2 linked regions of the Coturnix japonica genome follow. The protein of the gene in region 2 interacts with the protein of the main gene of each other region in a pairwise test. Links are inferred from orthologs where the notes say so. Each region holds a gene or a part of one and is shown on either strand. Other genes may lie near its edges.

Region 1 (3,566 bases), on a different chromosome or scaffold from region 2:
AAAAAACATTAGAGACAACTCAACCAGTTGCATAAGAGTTTCTCATTGATAGTACTACGCTTTATCCCTCCCATGTCCAGTAAAAGTGTTTTTCTAGGAAAAAAAACCGTTCTACCAATGCTTATGAATCACCAGGTCATAGGAGCACCACAGAATGTAGTCCACCCCCGAGCAAAAAAGTCCATAACAAAATTTACATAACCTTACCTCCAATAGTGTGTAGAATTTGCCCATTTTTCAGAGTGACCAAAATCCTGTGATGTCCAGTGTCAGCTATCACCAGCCTTTCTCCTGATTTATCTACTGTCACTTTGCCAGGAAACAGCAGAGGAGAAGGTGGGAGGGAGTCTTTGTACAGCTTTATTCCAATACTGTTATCTTTAATTTGTCCTCTCTCCTTGTAGAATTTCAGTGTTATTGAAGTAAATAAAAACAACTTCTCTTTGTGCCCTTCTCCAACAAGCGAAAACAGCATGTTTCCACGAGGTCCAAGAATGACCAGAGTTGGCCAACAGGACACTTCTAGTTCATGCCACAGTGTTGCGTCTGCATCGTTTACAACAGGGTGGCCAATATCGTACCTCAAAACTGCACTCTTAATGTTATCCAGAACTTTTTCGTTTGGAAACTTCGCTGAATGGACACCAATAATAACAAGGCCATCTGAAAGGAGAAGTGAATTATTACATTTAAATATATTTGTATCTCAGTTTAAAAAGTAAAAACAAAGCTCCAAAGTAACTAAGCGCATTTCAGAGTGAAGAGGGTTTAGCAAGTAAAAAGAGTAATATGTCACAAATAGTTCTTAATTTCTTAACCTCTGCATACTAAGGCAGAAAATGCTTTGAAAATAATCATGGGTAAGCTTCAGCAGTTCAAGTGGTATTTTGTTTTCTCAGGTATTCATGATACCTCTTTGGTGTCTGATTCCTTTACATAAATATGGTGTTTACAGAAAATTAATACTTTTCTATTGTAAACCAGGAATCGCAAATATAACACGGAACTTTAAAAAGTAAAGAAATGAAAGGTACAGGCTCTTAAAATCAAAACAGTACCCCGTGTTTTACATAGAGCTGGCAGCACCAGAAACCATGAAAAATATAAGAAGTGTATTAAATCAATTTAATCTTCAATTTTAATCCCTCTTCTTAATGCTTATAACAAAATACCTATATTTGGTTAATAATCATTAGTATAGAGATACTGCACTTGAATTCCCAGCATGAAGGTTCTCTGTAATGTCTTCATCAATGGCACTGATGATAGGTTTGAGTGCACCTTCAGCAAGTCTGCTGAGGCCAAGCTGAGTGGTGAAGCTGACAAATTAGAAGGAAACGATGCCATCCAGAGGGACCTTGACAAACTAATGAGGTTCAACATAGCGAAGTGCAGTGTTCTGCACTAGGGTTAGAGTAACCCCAGATATGTATGCTGACTAGGAGAAGCACACCTTGAGAGTAACCCTGTGCTGAAGGACCTGGGGGTGCTGGTGGATGAAAAACTGAACGTGAGCCAGCAGTGTGTGCTTGCAACTTGGAAAGCAAATGGTATCCTGGCCTGGAGCCCCTACGAAGACAGGCTGAGGGAACTGGGCTTGTTCAGCCTGGAGAAGAGAAGGCTGCAAGGAGACCTCACTGCCACCTTCTGGTATTTAAAAGTGGGCTGCAAAAAGGGGAGTCAACTTCTTATTTGCATAGACAGTGATAGGACAAGGGGGAATGGTTTTAAGCTCAAGGAGGGAAGGTTTAGATTGGATGTCAGTGGGAAGGAAGTTCTTCACAGAGAGAGTGGTGAGGTGCTGGCACAGGCTGCCCAGAGGCTGTGGATGCTCTGTCCCTGGAGGTGTTCAAGGCCATGTTGGATGGGGCCCCGGGTGGCCTGGTCTAGTATTAAATGTGGAGGTTGGTGGCCCTGCCTGTGGTGGGGGGTTGGAGATTCATGATCCTTGAGGTTCCTTCCAACCCAGGCTGTTCTGTGATTCTGTGATTTTATGAAGGTACTGAATAAACACAAAGTAATATAATTCAGCTTGTATACATGGAATAGACAGCATCAGCAATAAATTGATCAGAAAGCACGTAACTGAAATGCTTGTTTATTTTCCCACTTCAGTGAAACTCAAACAGAAAATCTACAGTTCAGAACTCATCAGCTTTTCTCTATGGGACAAAAAAACAAATATACTTCTACTCCATGTAAATAATTTCACCATCAGTCCCAAATTTTGCACCCCCCTACCTACTTAACAGAAAAAGAATGAGGAGCCTTCAGCAAAGTCACTTTTCAGTACCTCCTAGGAGGAGAAAACCTCAAATGCTCTAACAAACAACTCTGGATCTCTTTCAGTGCTTTCAATTATGCCTTCTAGCATAATCTCTCAGAAATTAAATGAGCAATGTACATGACATCAACAACATATTTTGTTTCATTTTGTGCTTAAAGAATGCTTAGCCATAAACATCATGTTGTTACAGTCAAAGTAACTTGTCAAATGTGGGATGATTTAGGTTTTGGGTTATTTTTATTTTAAAATTCAGAGATGCGAGTGAAATAAATGAGACTATCTGAACCATGACATTTGATTAAATTTCAGAACATTCCATTTCTAGAATCTGTTGCTCACAGCCACCATAAAAGAATGAGACACTGAATATCGTTCGTTACTGAAGCCAGGAAGATAATGACAGTAACAACCATGCAGTTGTAGAAAGCTGCAGCACAATAACTTTAAACCCAAACTGCTGATATAATTGAAATCTTAGACATTAACCCTATGCAGTGGAAAAACTAAGTCATATATTGAAGCAGTGATTGAGCACCTGGTAGGAAGGCAGAGCCAGCTCAGGGGAGCTCAGGTGCAAGCAATGCCCCTTAATAACTGGAAGGGGTGGAGCCAGGATCCACCCCTTCCCAGACCTTATTTAAAGGTTGGCCAGGGAGGCAATGCTTGCTGTAGACTATTGTGCACCTGAGGCCTTCTGAAGGTAAGTAAATTCCTTTTATTTCTGTGCCTGCTGCTACATTTGAGTAGAGCCTTATTTGCTACAGCCTGGGATCTTGCTGCTCTGCTGTTCCTATTGCACTTACCACTGTTATACCTGTATTGTATGTATACATATGTATATCTGTGTATTGAAAAATCACCTGTGTTAATGGATATTTCAAGCTTTTTATAATCACAGGTAACTGGTATCATTCTACTACTTTATTGAAAAAATGTTATCAAGTTTTATTTAACCTTATGTCTTAGGTTGAGTAGAGATTCTAAATTAAATAGGAAGGGGGAATACCCTTATGGTTGATATCCTTTTTAGCTAATTTTTCTAAATTAAAAAATATTTTGACAGCAACAAGTTCTTTCTTCTTTTTGCAGTTGTATCTATATAAATAATCAGCATTTATGATTTTTTATTGCTTGCATTCAAATATCTGTAGTGTTTCCTTCTAGTGTTTTTTTATGTCTACAGTGAATTCCTTATTTTTTATCATCAATACAAGTAATATCATAAAAGAGGTGAAAGCTTTGTGACCCTGCAGGTGTCACAGATGAAGAAATTATCCAA
Region 2 (3,566 bases):
AGTATTTATGGTTTGGTTTGATTTCAGTTCAGCTAATCAACTCATGAATTACTTTAAGGTATCAACTCATGAATTACTTTAAGGTATCCTTAAGAAGAGTTTATATAAAGGACTAATGGTCAGATTTTTGTCTTATCAAAGTGTTAAGAATGTGTGTTCCAGATCCTGTGCAATAGTGGTCCCTGTACCTGGGAGCCTCTGTTATCTCCAGGATGTGGGTAAACTATCAAAACAAACATAAATCAACAAATGCGTCTCCAGGAAAAATACCGTGTCAGTGTTCTCAAGTGTAAAATCTAGCTTGTCCTGTGTAGCAGTTATGATCCTGCTCTAACCACAGTGATCTGAGCAGTGAGTTGTACATTCAGTAACAATGGGCACTTGTACACTGTGGCTCTTCCAGTCTATTTGTAGGTGCCTATTCTAGCCCTTACAGAACAGCATTCATCTTGTATGTTCTGGTATCACCTGGAAAGAGGCCCTTAGGGCTCAGATCCAGTTACCAGCTTCTTTAGCCAGGTTATCATTCCTTTCATTCTTGAGTAGAATATTTCAGTGAAGATCTTTGTGTTGTATGTACTTAGAGAAGTTTATGGGGTTTTATTTTTATGATGGTATGATTAAAACTATTATTTGTTCTGTGTCAAATGAATTTGAAAGGACTGATAGGAATGTATTTTGGTTCAAAGGTACAGAATCAAAGGTTTCTGTCGGTGTTTTGAACATCAGACTTGAAATGTATCCACCACTTACTAAGACTCTGTCTCCAGAAATAACAAGCACTCAGGTAAGTAATATGTAGGGGGTGAGGGATGGCCTGTTCTTTTATCAGCAGGGGGGATGCACACTGTACAGTTATTTATGTAGATAAAGGGTCGGTTACTCTACTTGAAAAGCCAGTAAATGGTGGCCCAAAGGTGTTACAGATATTATTCCACACTTAGCAAGGTGAGTAGTCCTTCTATACAGATATGCGTCACTGAAGATGAACACTACTTCAGTCAAGCTTGATATATCAGCCTACAAACAAGAAATGTAAATTGAGTTTTACATTCATTGGATTTTCACTTTAAAATACTATTCTTTAGCATTGGTTGCATGCTGTCATATTAAACTTCATTTTTCATATGCAAGGATCATGTGCTAGTATGTATATTGATTACTTTTTGTTCTTGTTTGGAATTATTATATGTGTGAATGGTTGTGTGTATTTTCCTACCTGTAGTTTACTTTGGAACGTCAGAAGACAGCAGAAAAAGAACGTTTATTTCTTGTGTATGCTAAACAGTGGTGGAGAGAATACCTGCAGATCAGGCCTACACACAACTCAAGGCTGGTAAAGATTTTTGCACAGGTTTGTATATTTTACAAATACACCAATCTGTTCTTCAAGGTGTTTTTTTTAGTCTTAGCTGCATGTTTGAAGTTTGTGTATGTAGAATTTGTATAGATTTATGATGTGGTTAGATTCCATTCAGGGCTACATGTGATACAGTATGCTGACAATGAAGTTTTCAAGACTTGAACTATGTATACTGAAGCTGAAGAGTATGTTTCATAGAGAAAGGCTGCTCCAAGCACCCCTGGTGTAGGAGGTAGAAAAGCCATTTTAGTCTTTTCCTTGAATAAGTACAAATGGCAAATGCTTAAGTGATCTATACAAACTATTGCAGACAGGTTTTATACAGTAATAAGTAGTGGAGTTACTGGATATACTGGAGCAGATCCATATAATATTTGAGCACTCTGTGGTTAATAAAGTAATCTGGCTGGTGAATGTTGCATGGTAGTTACAGATGTGAACAAATCATTGGCTAGTAAGTTACTGTGTTGTAACTTACGTCACAATCACATCAGTTGTTCCTTGGTGACTGCCCCTCAGTAGTAGGAATGGTATGGGACTATAAGGACAGGCTGAGGGAGCTGGGCTTGTTCAGCCTGGAGAAAAGAAGGCTGCAGGGTGACCTCATTGCAGCCTTTCAGTACTTAAAGGGAGCCTACAAACAGGAGGAGAGTCAAGCCTTTGAAAGGGTAGATAACAGACAGCCAAGGGGAAATGGTTTCAAGTTGAGGGAGGGAAGATTTAGGCTGGATGTCAGGGGGAAGTTCTTTGAGAGTTGTGAGGTGCTGGAACAGGCTGCCCAGAGAGGCTGCTGATGCCCCATCCCTGGAGGTGTCCAAGGCCAGGTTGGATGGGGCCCTGGGCAACCTGGTCTACTATTAAATGGCAAGGTTGGTGGCCCTGCCTGTGGCAGGAGATTTGGAGATTCTTGATCCTTGAGGTCCCTTCCAACCTGGGCCATTCTGTGATGCTTTGTGTTTATCATGCTAATATATGAATTTAACTTGTAGAGCAGCAATTTTCCTGGCACAGATGATGAAATAACTTCCGGAAGCAATCCACACCTGCTGTTTGTCTTCAGGGAAGTGAGGTCTTCTCTTCTGGCTTCACCAGCTGTGTACGGGAGTAGTGTCAGCTTCCACGTAAGGGTGTGGTGCATTCATCTCACTGCTGAACACACCTGGTGCAGCCGGAATGGAAGCTTCACTGGAAACTAACAGTAGATAATGGATTGCTTTAGGAAGTTTTAATAGTACTATTATTTCTTTACCACGTTCAGGATGAAAATGGAGTAAACCGTCCGGTATGTTCATATATCAGACCACTTCGAGCGGGCCGGTTGCTAGACACACCTAGACAAGCAGCACGATTTGTCAGTGTCCTGGGTTATGAAAGAGCTCCTGTCATCGGAGGAGGTGGTGGCAAACAAGAGCAGTGGTGCACACTTCTTGCATTCGTATGTAGAAACAAGGTATGTAAAAACAGTCTTTGCATGACAACTTTTATAGTTGGAATGAAGTTAGTCATTTAAAACAGGTTGCAAAAGGTGGACTGAATCCATTTCAGAGAACTCATAAATGCAAATAGCTTTTATAAGATCAAATAGTGGCAGATGTTAAGTATTAGACAAGAGGGCTTTGGAGCTGACTTACTTTATTCAGTGCTGTTGCTTGAATCCTTTTTTCAATGAATCCATTGGACATCATGTGTAATGGTTCCTTAAGGGGGGAAAAATAAAAGCCATCATCACAAACATCCCCTTTTCCTCCTTCAACCCAGCTTATGTTGCTGAGCGCTATGACATGTGACATGGGACATCCTTTGGGTGGTCTGGATCAGCTGTTATCCTGTTTCTGTCCTCTCAGTTCCTTGTGTACCACAGCCCTTTATGGGCAAGGCAGCATGAAGAACTGAAATATCCTTGTGTCTGTGTAAACGCTGCTCTGCAGCACCTGCAATGGTGTGCTGTCAGCACTGTTCTCATAAAAAATCCAAAATGCAGCACCATATGAGCCTCTGTGAAGAACAATAACTCCATTGGAAGTTGTAAAAGCCTGATATACTTTGATATGGTGCATATTAAAAAGAGGAATTCAAGATTCTTAAGTTTGTAACCTTGAAGTCCTGACTTCTGGTGCATGTTTTAGGTAAATAGGAGGGAAACGCGACTTGTTAGATAACAACTGGAGAAATACTGCTTTCTTTTTCTAATGTTTTTAGCTAT

Evidence for each region.
Region 1: the proteins of CEP76 (region 2) and NHLRC2 interact in binary tests that used the Homo sapiens proteins (3 or more experiments, as listed by UniProt). The two-hybrid records come from large-scale screens. The link is inferred for Coturnix japonica from reciprocal best matches to the Homo sapiens genes CEP76 and NHLRC2.

The regions. Positions count from the first base shown.
Region 1 is NC_029521.1:24,468,819-24,472,384, reverse strand, and holds part of NHLRC2 (NHL repeat-containing protein 2), read right to left. Parts: intron 664-3,566; coding exon 208-663; intron 1-207. UniProt on the Homo sapiens protein: Required for normal embryonic development.
Region 2 is NC_029517.1:87,454,334-87,457,899, forward strand, and holds part of CEP76 (centrosomal protein of 76 kDa), read left to right. Parts: intron 1-689; coding exon 690-787; intron 788-1,225; coding exon 1,226-1,354; intron 1,355-2,621; coding exon 2,622-2,813; intron 2,814-3,566. UniProt on the Homo sapiens protein: Centrosomal protein involved in regulation of centriole duplication. Required to limit centriole duplication to once per cell cycle by preventing centriole reduplication.